Macaca mulatta: one gene and its partners. The protein of the gene in region 2 interacts with the protein of the main gene of each other region in a pairwise test. Links are inferred from orthologs where the notes say so. Each region holds a gene or a part of one and is shown on either strand. Other genes may lie near its edges.

Region 1 (4,058 bases), on a different chromosome or scaffold from region 2:
AAAGAAAGCGGTCAAGGCCCTTCCATTCATCCACACATAACTCTTTATTGTTTTAATTTGAAACACCTCTTCAAAACATATTTTCCAATCTTCCATTTTGGAGCTCAAAATCAAATATGGGCGACCTGTAAGTAATAAAGCAAAAATTATGCTACTCTTTTATGTGCATGAGTCCAATATGCACTTTTTGGGGGGAAGCACATAGCCAAATGGAGAAAAAATAACACCTAAAATTATTTGTCAAGAGTCCTAATGTGTTGGAAAGTAAGTTAAAACATTTTACCCCAACATACGCTTGTATAGCTACTGTAAGAATTTCTATATTCACTATACCGTGTACTTATTTTTCAGGACTTTTTCCATATTTTTGCAACTCTTTCTGCCCCTTTAAATTAAAACTTATTATAATAACAAAACTGTGCTTCCCCAAACCAAGAAATATACACAGTTCCCAAAAACCCGGATTCTTTGTGGTGTTGAGATGAGAAGCTGAAATATTTGGCCTCTACTATAGAAGTCCCATTGATTAAAACACCCGGAAAAAATACGGAAAGAAAAATCAGTAAGAGTTTGTGTCGAACCGCCAAGAAATAACAACAAAAAAAAGAGGCCCTGAGCAACGGAGGAAATGAAGGACTTTCCCGACCTGTCACTGGTATTGGGGGCTGAGGGAAACGTTGACAGCTTTGAAGCTGCCCCGCGACGAGCGGGAAAGAGGAGGGCGGGGAGTTTCCGGGCCTTAGTGCGCCTTTGTCTGCCGGCAGGTGCGACAAAGCTACTGGGCCCATCGGGAGGCCCGCCGCCGTGCCCCGCCCAACCCCGCGCGCCCGGCCCGACCGGCGCGTCCCCACAGCCGGGGCGGGGCCTCCGCGGCGGCTCCCGCCCGCCAGGGCCCACACAAAGGCCCGGCAGCTGGCCGAGGGGGAGCGGCCCCACCCGCCCTGGGCCCGGCCTTACCCAGCCGCTCCGCCGCCTGCAGCCCCGGCCGCGGTCACCGACCGCCGCGCCCCGCCCCGTGGCCGCCACGGCTGCTGCTATTGCTCCTCCGGCCGCGGCCGCTGCCGTCGCTCCGGCACCCGCCGCCCTCACCTCCCTTACCCCTCCCGGTGCCGCCGCAAAACCAGTCCCGCGGCCGCCAAGCGATCCCTGCTCCGCGCGACACTGCGTGCGCGCGCACGCAGAGAGGCGGTGACGCACTTTACGGCGGCAGCGTAAGTGCGTGACGCTCGTCAGTGGCTTCACTTCACACGTGGCGCTAGAGGAGGCAGGGTGTCGTGCTCGTGCCGCTTTCTACAGCCAACATGAAGCGGCCTAGTAAGTGGGGTCGGGAAGCGGGCGTGGAGGGACCCATGTCTGGAAGTTGCTGCAGCCTCCACGACGCTCTTTTACGGCTACGGCTTTGTCTCTGCTGATATAGGGGTGAGAGCCTACGCGTAGGCCTTGGCCCTATTTTCTCGTAGGACCGAGAGTTGGAAGTCCCTACGGCGATCATGTTAACCGCGCGGGCTCATTCTGTGGAACGAAGACGGGCAGAGGGTGGGAAAGACTAGGCTAGATTTTCGTAAGGAAGCAGCTTCTGAGCCAGGTTTCAGGCCCAATATCTTACTTTCCGTGGCCACGTGCAGGCTGGCCCAGGTGAGAGCTGAGAATCGCCTCCCAGACTCAGTGTTCCTCTCCTGCCTTATGATTCGTGCTGTTTGACACAAAGTGGCTGTCGTTTTGGGTCTCATAAACGCTCGTACACGCTGCTGTGTATGATCCTATTCTGATATTGTAAGAGTAGGTGCAGGGAACTTGGACTCCGTTCTGGATCTACTGAATCTAATTCTCTGGAATTTGAAAGTGGCATGTATGTTTGCATTAGGCATTTCGCATTAGTCTTAACGTTAGGTTTGGCAGCCAATAACACGAGAAAAGGATATAACTCCATAGTGCGTTAACCCAGAACTAATCATTTGCGTTAACAGATTTGTGATGTTTCTTTGTAGAGTTAAAGAAAGCAAGTAAACGCATGACCTGCCATAAGCGGTATAAAATCCAAAAAAAGGTAAGTGTAGTGCTTGAGAGAGCTATACTAAACACTGCTAAACTGATTTTGCCCTGTTCCTTTGCGGGAAAGTCCGGGTTAATGTGATTTGGTTTCGGAAAATGGCATTGGATAGACTGACCATGGGCACGAGCTCTTAGGCATCAGGAGTGCAGCTGTGAGAAAGTGCAGTGATTTGGTGGTAAGTCTCTAAATTTGTTCAACATGTTAATCTCTGCATAGAGAGCCTTCTAGTTACATTTTCTTACTGTTTTATACTTACCTATGCATTACTTTGTAAGATTCCAACTAAAGCTCCATTTTCCTATTACATTTTATAGGCATAACTAAATTGCAGCCAGATTGGTTTCTCACTTGAATTCTGCTTAAGTATAAAGATATTTTTGTAAGCAGACAAAATCTCTTTAATAGGTTCGAGAACATCATCGAAAATTAAGGAAGGAGGCTAAAAAGCGGGGTCACAAGAAGCCTAGGAAAGACCCAGGAGTTCCAAACAGTGCTCCCTTTAAGGAGGCTCTTCTTAGGGAAGCTGAGCTAAGGAAACAGAGGGTAAGTTATGTTAGCCAGAATTTTCAACGAGTGGTATAGTGTGTTATGTGTGATATTTTTCAGAGTAAGGTAACAACACTAGTCACTGGTTCATCTATTTCCCTTACGGCTCTGACACAGCTTGAAGAACTAAAACAGCAGCAGAAACTTGACAGGCAGAAGGAACTAGGAAAGAAAAGAAAACTTGAAACTAATCCTGATATTAAGCCATCAAATGTGGAACCTATGGAAAAGGTATGATTAGGTCTCTTTATGAATGAGAGATCAGGGGTTTTGATTTTGTTTTTGTTGCTTGGGCCTGAGTGCAGTGGCACAATCACAGCTCACTGCGACCTCGACCACCCAGGCTCAAGCAGTCTTACCACCTCAGTCTCTGAGGAGCTGGGACTACAGAAGCACACCATCATGCCTGGCTAATTTTTTTTAGTAGACACGGGCTTTCACTATATTGCCAAGGCTGGTCTCAAACTCTTGGACTCAAGTGATCCACCCACCTCAGCCTACCAGTTTCTGGTATTACAGGTGTGGGCTGTTGCGCCTGGCTGAGAGATGAGTTCTGGTGCAGAAATAAAAGCACATCTACAGGCTGCTGAGCTTCTTGGGAGGAAGACAACTGAGTTCAGACTCCATCTTACCTATTTAACAACTGCAAGTGCTGCTACTCAGCTGTGGAAAATGGAGATAGAGGTTACTACTGCTCTACTTCTAATTTTGTGTCCTTTTCCCCTTTATCCTCTAGGCATTTGGGCTTTGCAAAACTGAGAACAAAGCCAAGTCAGGAAAACAGAATTCAAAGAAGCTGTACTGCCAAGAACTTAAAAAGGTATCTTAGCCTAGGTCAGTGTCTGACAGTAGTAATGAGGTTTAAAAGACTCAAGTCATTTTTTTTTTAACCTTTTAAGATCAAGGGTACATGTGCAGGTTTGTTACATGGGTAAACTTGTGTCGTGGGGGTTTGTTGTACAGATTATTTCATCACCCAGGTATTAAGCCTAGTACCAATTAGTTACCTTTCCTGATCCTCTCCCTCCTCCCACCTTCCACCAACAAATCATTTCATGACTCGACTCTAACTTATGCTGTTTAATGCCTTTCCTGCTATGTTTACCTGACAAATAGTTTCTTTGGTTCTAAATATTTGCACAAAACTGGTTCTGCCTGTAAGCATGATTTACAACATTTTTTTAAAAAATGTTGACATAGTGTTGAGATTGAGAAAAGTACATTGGAGTAAGCAATGTCAGGCTAAGGGTCTCTACTCTGTTGAAACCTAAGTGAAAGAGGACAAGAGGGTACTGTCTCCTTGGTGTAGTTGCTCTCCAGCACTCCCATCCCCAACATCCATTTTCCCAAGCTCACTCCCCCGTGGATAGAACCTGACTGCCCCTCAGCAGCTTTTGGCAAGGCCAGAGGGACCTACCAAACTACATAATTCACTATGGGAGGATTCAAAGACAGGGAT
Region 2 (4,021 bases):
AGTTAAATTATAACATATCCATATTATGCGTTAGTATGTGTCCACAACTAACGCATATTATGGATATGTTATAATTTAACTGTTCATTCCTCTTTTGATGGATGCTGAAATCGTCTGTATAATTTTCTTGTAAGAAATAATGCCTTGGGGTGGGGGGGTCTTCCTTTCTGAGGCTATCATTTATATTCTTCACTTCTTAAATTTGATATGTTGAGGCTAAAAAAAAAGATTACGGGTCTTCAGAACGCCCCAATGCCCGGGGCTGCTGGGGTACCTCGGAGTTTGTCAACGTGTAGCTTAAAATGTTAATTCCCATACTCGCTACCAAATATTCGATTAAGGCTTCTGTAGTTCTTATAAGTCACTCGCTTTCTTTCAGGAGGAATCCTAAAGATTAAGAGCGGCAAGAAGTCAAGAGTCTGCCCACCCTCCGAGCTCTCTTAGGGCGATGTCCTTGCTCATTTGGAGACTGATTCAGTCCCCTTTAGGCCCCCAAATTACATAAAGATGAGGACTTTGGAGATGTTTTCTCAGGAAGGGCAGAACTGTAAAAACACAGTTCCGTAAGCCTGGCCGGTAGCTACATCTTTCCTTCCTAACAAAGAATAAGCCGCAATTCACTCTCCGGCACCTGAACTTTGGGGTAACGATTAACTGCGATCCCAAGCCTTCAGGCAAGTAAAAAAAAATCCTGAAATGATTACGCCTGTTTGGAGGTTTGCAAGGCACTAGGGTATGGGGGAAGTGAATCGAGGTGCTCTCCGGTTCATTCCCAGCCAGCTAACAACCCGCCATATCTAACACAGCTAAGAGCTGCCGACGCCATTTTGCAGGGTGGGCTACGCAGACTCTTGGCGGGAGGCCGGAGCGCTTGAGCGGGAGAGGACGTGGAAGTGTTGGAGGTGGGGAGCGCGCGTTACGACTGGAAAGCACGCGTGCGCACAGGCGACAGCGGTGGAGGGGTGGGGCCAGTGTACGAGTGCGCGTGCTCGGTGGGAGCCCGCGGAGTACCTGGAAGGAGGTGGGGGGCGAGGTAGAAAGGAGTGTGGTTGAAGAGCGCTTGCGCAGGAGGGCTACGGTACGGGGGTGGGAAGGCTCCGGAGCACGCGCGCGGAGGCGGGACTTGAGAAGCGCTCGCGAGATCTTCAGGGGCTATATATAAGCGCGGGGAGCTTGCGTCCTTTCCCTGGTGTGATTCCGTCCTGCGCGGCTGTTCTCTGGAGCAGCGTTGGTTTATCTCCGTCCGCCTTCTCTCCCACCTAAGTGCGTGCCGCCACCTGATGGAAGATTCGATGGACATGGACATGAGCCCCCTGAGGCCCCAGAACTATCTTTTCGGTAACTGCAGGGGGGAGCTGGAGCGAGGCCGAGCGGGGCCTGGTGGCGGTGAAGGCGGGGGTGAGGGGAGGGAATACGGCTGCAGCAGGGTCTGGTGGAGACCGCCAGACCGGCTGGAGGCCTGAGCGGGTGGGAAGAGCTGCCCGAGCCCTGGACCTGGTGGGATTGGAGCCGCGGGGGGAGCCGGAGGCGTGAAGGGGGAGGAGACGAGCGGCCTGAAGCGCCTGGAGCGTGAGCAGTCCGAGGCCCAGGGCCTGAGGTGTAGCGGAACTGGCCGCCTGGAAGTTCGGCCGTTGCCGGGGATACGCCGCGGAGCCCCAGGCGTGGTTTATTTTCTAACGGAGTTCGTTCGTAGGCTTCTGATCCCAGGCCCCGGGTTGGTGGTCCCGGAGGCTGGGTTTACCGGGAAGCATGGGCCTGCTTGTTGGAGAGGGTAGATGCACAGCCTGGCGTTGTTCTGACCTCAGAGTCTGGAGCTGCCGGACCCAGATTTCACTCGCGTGCTTCGGCCAGTTACTGGGGGAGGGGAGGCGCGGCGCGGCGTGAGGCGGCCGCAACCGCTGGGAGCACGTGGTTGCCACGTGGTTGGGGGAGGGAGGGGGGTGTGGGCACTACATCCGGGGCTCACCAGCATGTTGCTACTCCAGATCAAGGGATGCTGTGGCTCAGTTGAAGTGGGAAATGTTAAGAGGCTGGTAACACTAGGATTCTGGAGGCCTTTGTTCAGTGCTTACAGCATCTACTGTGATGGCAGCTCTTTTTTTTTTGAGCCCCTTTTCTGTCTCACTGCAGTAGCTGGAGCTAGCCCCACTTTGCAGATGACGGCACTGGTGCCCAGAGATTAACTCACTTAACGAAGGTTGTACTTATAGGCAAAGAGGCTAAAACTAAACCAAGACCCTTGACTCGTAGCTGCTGCTTCGTGAATATTAATGAGGCTTCGTTTTAGGGGGACGTCCTCGCATGCCGCCATTTGTGCAGCATTGACCAAACCGCTTATTTAAATACAAGAAACAAGTAGAGTGTTCGATTTGAGTCAGATCAAGACCTAAAACTATTCGCAGAATTTTGGGACCACCACCCCCTTCGACTTGCGGTAGCCCTGCCCCAAAAAGGAGAGTCCCACTTGGGTTTTTAATGTCAGTAGGTTTAATTACAGAAGCCTAATCTTTGTGTACTATTCGGACTTTGAAGTAAGTGCGAATCCTACCGTGAATTTTATCTTGTTCATTATCCGTGCTGAGATTTGTTAATTAAACCTCTTCACATTTAAGCGTGTATATGTATTGGTAACAGATGGTAGTTAAATGGAATTATTTAAAATTTTTATTCTGACAGTATTTTAAAGAATTTTGCCCATGCATGGATGGAGTGGCAGTAGACACATGTATTTAAAACATTAAGGCTTTAATTCCTAGCTGTTTTGGATAACTGAGAATTCTGATAAATTTATATCAGTACTTTTTGATAACTGTTGGAAACAATCCTCCTTGTCTTAAACATAGTTTCTGAATATAGTTTCAGGCGTATGTCACTTTCTGTTGCTTTAAAGAGTAGAGTGTTGACCCCTGTAGCAAGCTTTGGTTCTTTTACCTTTGTCGTTTTTCTTTTGTAATAGTAAGCTATTCATGTTTGTAACCGTTCTCATTTCGAACTTTCCATTTGGGAATTTAGGTGGGTAAATCAGCTGTTTTAAATAGTGGGAAACTTAACATTGGACATTACATTTGGTTTCAGGTAATTGTTTTAGGTTCAGATTTACTAAACCGTTGAGCTCGTTTCTGTATGCAGAATAACAGTGCCTATCAGCGTAGAGATGAAATATGGTATGAGGAGAAAATAGAATTGTAGACTTCTATGGGTGTTACTTGTTTGTAGAGGTTTCTGTTCAAGAAATCGTGGAATTGATCATTCTGCTTTGCCCTCTGGTAGCTAAAATTGTGAAAAACTAGTTCAAAAGTTAGACCTGACCTTTTTGGTTACCCACACTTAAGTTTCAGTGTTATTTTTCTCCTTGTTAGAGTTGCTTTTTTCTTCATTTACAGGTTGTGAACTAAAGGCCGACAAAGATTATCACTTTAAGGTGGATAATGATGAAAATGAGCACCAGTTATCTTTAAGAACGGTACTTAAACTTTCAAAATAAACTACTTAACCCTACTTGATTTCAGCCTTTTAGTTTCTATTCATGTGGCTTGAGACTTTTCCTTTGCTGACTGCTTATAAAATACTATTTCTTACACCTGGGTATTGTGTGTACCTCACTGTCTGTACATCTTTGATGAAGAACTTGGCATCTATACTCATTTGGTAACCATGTAAAATCCAGTCACATCGTTAAACTTGCCTTATTTTCTTCAGTTGGATTATAAAGCCCTTGTAAAAGGCATCGATAATCTTACATGTCTACCAGAGACTAGCTTTTCTCTCAACTTAGAAGTTGCTCAATAAATAAGTTAGGTGATCTATATTGTGTGTATGCATATTTATGCATTTCTTAAATTTTCTGAATATGAGAAATTGATTTGCCAAGATCACAAAACCTGAGGATAACATTGCACAGATTTGTTTTCTGAGGTAACAGTGATAGGTTTATACTTGTATTTTTAAAAAATCATAGTCATGTGCCTCATTGCAACTGTTGGGTCAACAGATGGATCATACAACGGTGGTCACATAAGAT
Region 3 (4,224 bases), on a different chromosome or scaffold from region 2:
ATATGTTGAGTGAAAAAAGCAAGTAACAAAGGACAACAAATCATATGATGCCCTCTACATAAAAGTTCAAAACTGGCCGGGCGCGGTGGCTCAAGCCTGTAATCCCAGCACTTTGGGAGGCCGAGGCTGAGGTCAGGAGTTCGAGACCAGCCTGGCCAACATGGTAGAACCCCGTCTCTACTAAAAAAATACAAAAATTAGCCAGGAGTGGTGGTTGGCCCCTTTAAATCCCAGCTACTTGGGAGGCTGAGGGAGGAGAATCACTTGAACCCGGGAGGTGGAGGTTGCAGTGAGCTGAATGCCACTGCACTCCAGCCTGGACGACAGAGCGAGACTTCATCTCAAAAAAAAAAAGTTCAAAACTAAGGAAAACCAAACAATATATTGTGTAGGCATGCAGATATGAGTAATTTTTTTTTTTTTAATACAGAATTCTGGCCCAGGCGTGGTGGCTCATGCCTGTAATTCCACTTTGGGAGGCTGAGGTGTGAGTATCGCTTGAGCCCAGGAGTTTGAGACCAGCCTGGGCAACACAGCAAGACCCATCTCTAGTTATAATTAATTAATTAATTTAAGAAAATACAGAATTCTGGCCCAGCGTGGTGACTCATTCCTGTAATCCCAGCACTTTGTGAGGCCAAGGTGGAAGGAAAGTTGAGCTCAGGAGTTCAAGGACAGCCTAGACAACAAGGTTAAACCACTTCTCTACAAAAAAATACAAAAACTTAGCCAGGCATGGTGGTGTGCTCCCATAGTCCCAGCTATGCAGGAGGCTGAAGTGGGAGGATTGCTTGATCCTAGGTGGTAGAGGCTGCAGTGAGCCAAGACTGTGCCACTACACTCCAGCCTGGGCGACAGAGCGCGAGCCTGTCTCAAAAAATAAATACATACAATACAATACAATACAACGCAGAATTCTGCACGGTGGTGGTCCCTTAAGTTTTGCAATGGGTACACGGGTGTTTATGGTATTAATTTAAAAGTTATAAATATACATGAATTTTAAGAAGAGGATCCATGCAAGGTTTAATGATAATTGTATGTCATCCATTCGCTCAACTGAAGTCGGCCTTCCCCGCCCCCTGCCAAAAGTAAACACTTTTCTAATCAGGGCCAGCCACTGGAGAAACTGAAATGAGTGGGCGGGGTGCTAACTCTATTTTCACTTTTCTCTTCCTGTTTCTTCAGAGCCTGGGAAACAAGTCAGAATTTCCAGTCTTTTCCAATTCCCACATGATTTCCTAATTCAAGACGAATTCAGAGAAAATAAGTCTTTCTCCATCTGGAGAAGACTCCGCCCCCTGGAGCATCCTCCTTCGGGGATGAGGCCTGAGGTGGGGCTGCGCCAGCCCCAGCCCCCACAAGGACGCGCCTTGGGCTTGGTCTTGGGGGAGCTACCCGCACTGTGGGGTCACATGACAGAATTAGTGGTCAGCCCTAGCTGGAGGTCCAGGGCAAACACAGGCGGGGGCAGTGGGGTTGGGGGTTGTGGCCCTGCTGATTCGAGTGTCCCCTGTGGGTTCCGGACCTTCTGAGATACAAGCGCCAGGCTTCAGAGACGAAGCTCCGGGGTTTACCCCTGGGGACCCCCTGCTCCTGCAGCCGCTGAGGGCCGGCAGTTTGGCTGCATAGTAAGCTGGCGCTTTAGCTGGAGAGGGACGAGCTCTCGGCCAGCTCGCCAGCGGGAGGGCCTCAAGTTGTCCCATCCGGGCTGCAGGCTCCGCAAAGCTCCCTGATGCACTGTCAGAGGGGGAGGTCCGGCCGCTCCCCTTCCCCTACAGCCGCATCTAGAGTGGGGTAGGTTGGACATTTTAACGTGCTTCTGAGACAGTCACCACCGAAAGGCACCTTTAGCGATGAGGAAACCGGCGTGGAGTTCAACCACCCGGCCTCTGCGGAGCAGAAGGCCCGACTGGGCCTTTCCCTGCGCGGGGCGGGCGGCCGCAGCCCCGTAGCCCGGGCTTTGCTCCAGACCCGGCCCAGAGTGACATCACCAAACTCCGCCGATCGGTGGGAGGGGGCCCTGAAATCCCCTAAAAACAAAGTGAGTAATCGGCGGACCCGCCCTCCAGGCGGGGCCGGGACCCGGGAGCTAGCCGAACCACCGGGCACACCAGCCTCTTCGTCTCCGGCGACGCGCGCACTTGGCCCCGGCCCCCGGCAGCGGCTGTGCGCGCGGCCTCTTCGTCCTCCGCGCGGCGCGCACTTGCTCCCGGCCCCTTCGCCGGGCGGCGGCGGGGCAGCGCGCAGGCGCGGCCGGATTCCGGGCAGTGACGCGACGGCGGGCGCGCGCGGCGCATTTCCGCCTCTGGCGAATGGCTCGGCTGTAGTGCACGCCGCGGGCCCAGCTGCGACCCCGGCCCCGCCCCCGGGACCCCGGCCATGGACGGTGAGGTCGCCCTCTGACCCCGCGGGGTGGCCGCGCCGGGACCGCCCCGGCTGTGGCGGGAGGCCCCGCGCCGCTTTCCGCCCCTTCCTGCGCCGACTGGCGCTGCGCAGGGAGCGGTCGGCCTGCCGGATGGTGGCGCGGGGCGGGGCAGGCGGGGAGGGGTCTGACTCAGTTTCCCCTCTGGGTGGAGGGGGGCCCTTGACTCAGCATCCTCCCTGGGTGGGGGAGCAGAGGGAGCCTTGACTCAGTTTCCCTCCACACCGTCCATGGGGGCAGCTCTGGCTTCGTTTCCCTATTAGGGGAGAACGCATCTGATTCAGTTTCCTCTCTGGATGGAGGTGGGGCGTGCCCTCCCTCAGTTTTCCTTATGAAAGTACAACAGGCCCTGATTCGGCTTCCCTCGGGAGAAGGATTCCTTACCCCGTTTTCCCTCAAGAAGCAGGTGTTTCTGGTTCCTTTCCTCCACTCCTTAGTTTCACCGCAGGTTCTAGGAAGCAGGTCCTTACTCAGTTCCCCTGGGAGGGAGCCTGGCTTCTCTTCTCTGTGGAGAGCAGATACTCCCTTGTGAGGATGGGCAGTGGGTGTGTGCTGACCCTGATCTCCCTCCCCTTTCAGAACTGTTCCCCCTCATCTTCCCGGCAGGTAAGTGGCCCCCGCAGCAGTCCGGGAGGTGTTCCCTGGGGTAGGGCAGCGGGGGCAGCTGTCTAATGGGCCTGCGGTGTCCCCTGGCAGAGCCAGCCCAGGCCTCTGGCCCTTATGTGGAGATCATTGAGCAGCCCAAGCAGCGGGGCATGCGCTTCCGCTACAAGTGCGAGGGGCGCTCCGCGGGCAGCATCCCAGGCGAGAGGAGCACAGATACCACCAAGACCCACCCCACCATCAAGGTCAGCACTGCACCAGGGTGTGCGGGGAAGGGACTGTGGAACCCCAGCCCTCTGTGTTTGGGAGTCAGGTTTGGATGTCTGGGCCTCTGTACTTTGGACAGATCAATGGCTACACAGGACCAGGGACAGTACGCATCTCCCTAGTCACCAAGGACCCTCCTCACCGGCCTCACCCCCACGAGCTTGTAGGAAAGGACTGCCGGGATGGCTTCTATGAGGCTGAGCTCTGCCCGGACCGCTGCATCCACAGGTGAGCTCCCTGCAGGCTAGGAGGCCCAGCATGAGGGAACAGGAGGCGGGCTATGAAGTAGCCGCTACAGTGTTACTCCTTTCTGGACACAGGGCAGAGTTGCTTACTTCTTGCTCTGACTCAGCTCTGCAAGTAAACTCTCTTTGTCTTGAAATGATCTATTTGTACCTCTACTCTAGCACAGATAAGAGCTCCAAGGGATATGGATGGGTCCCTAATCACTTCTGAATCCCTGACCCCTGTAGCTGGAAGGACAAGTCCCTTGGAGTCATGTCTCTTGTTTGAGAAAGAAAACCACTGAACCAACACTCTCCCCTGGAGGTGACATTGCAGTTGACAGAAACAGGCCTTAAAAAAATATACAGGCCAGGCATAGTGGCTCATGCTTATAATTCTAGCACTTCCGGAGGCCAAGGCAGGAAGATCTCTTGAGCCTGGGAGTTCAAGACTAACCAAGGCAACATAGTGAGACCCTATCTCTACAAAAAAATAAGAAATTAGCTGGGTATGGTGACTTGTGCCTATAGTCCCAGCTACTTGGGAGGCTGATGTGGGAGGATCACCTGAGCCCAGGAGGTCACCGCTATGGCAAGCTATGATTACACCACGACACTTGGGTAGCAGAGCGACACCTTGTCGTGTTTTTTTTTTTTTTTTGAGACGGAGTCTTGCTCTGTCCCCAGGCTGGAGTGCAGTGGCGC

What was found. The genes of interacting proteins can lie anywhere in the genome.
Region 1: the proteins of NPM1 (region 2) and GNL3 interact in a two-hybrid assay, tested with the Homo sapiens proteins (2 studies listed by BioGRID, with this or other methods). The link is inferred for Macaca mulatta from reciprocal best matches to the Homo sapiens genes NPM1 and GNL3.
Region 3: the proteins of NPM1 (region 2) and RELA interact in a two-hybrid assay, tested with the Homo sapiens proteins (2 studies listed by BioGRID and IntAct). The link is inferred for Macaca mulatta from reciprocal best matches to the Homo sapiens genes NPM1 and RELA.

Annotation. Positions count from the first base shown.
Region 1 is NC_133407.1:116,244,223-116,248,280, forward strand, and holds the start of GNL3 (guanine nucleotide-binding protein-like 3), read left to right. Parts: upstream 1-1,240; 5' UTR 1,241-1,301; coding exon 1,302-1,314; exon of another isoform or gene 1,315-1,419; intron 1,420-1,988; coding exon 1,989-2,047; intron 2,048-2,458; coding exon 2,459-2,596; intron 2,597-2,716; coding exon 2,717-2,830; intron 2,831-3,335; coding exon 3,336-3,419; intron 3,420-4,058. UniProt on the Homo sapiens protein: May be required to maintain the proliferative capacity of stem cells. Stabilizes MDM2 by preventing its ubiquitination, and hence proteasomal degradation.
Region 2 is NC_133411.1:180,245,385-180,249,405, forward strand, and holds the start of NPM1 (nucleophosmin), read left to right. Parts: upstream 1-1,184; 5' UTR 1,185-1,280; coding exon 1,281-1,338; intron 1,339-3,383; coding exon 3,384-3,463; intron 3,464-4,021. UniProt on the Homo sapiens protein: Involved in diverse cellular processes such as ribosome biogenesis, centrosome duplication, protein chaperoning, histone assembly, cell proliferation, and regulation of tumor suppressors p53/TP53 and ARF.
Region 3 is NC_133419.1:8,726,874-8,731,097, forward strand, and holds the start of RELA (transcription factor p65), read left to right. Parts: upstream 1-1,406; 5' UTR 1,407-1,735; coding exon 1,736-1,797; exon of another isoform or gene 1,798-2,044; intron 2,045-2,269; exon of another isoform or gene 2,270-2,382; coding exon of another isoform or gene 2,383-2,389; exon of another isoform or gene 2,390-2,415; intron 2,416-2,862; exon of another isoform or gene 2,863-3,004; coding exon of another isoform or gene 3,005-3,031; intron 3,032-3,089; coding exon 3,090-3,273; intron 3,274-3,341; coding exon of another isoform or gene 3,342-3,374; coding exon 3,375-3,523; intron 3,524-4,224. UniProt on the Homo sapiens protein: NF-kappa-B is a pleiotropic transcription factor present in almost all cell types and is the endpoint of a series of signal transduction events that are initiated by a vast array of stimuli related to many biological processes such as inflammation, immunity, differentiation, cell growth, tumorigenesis and apoptosis.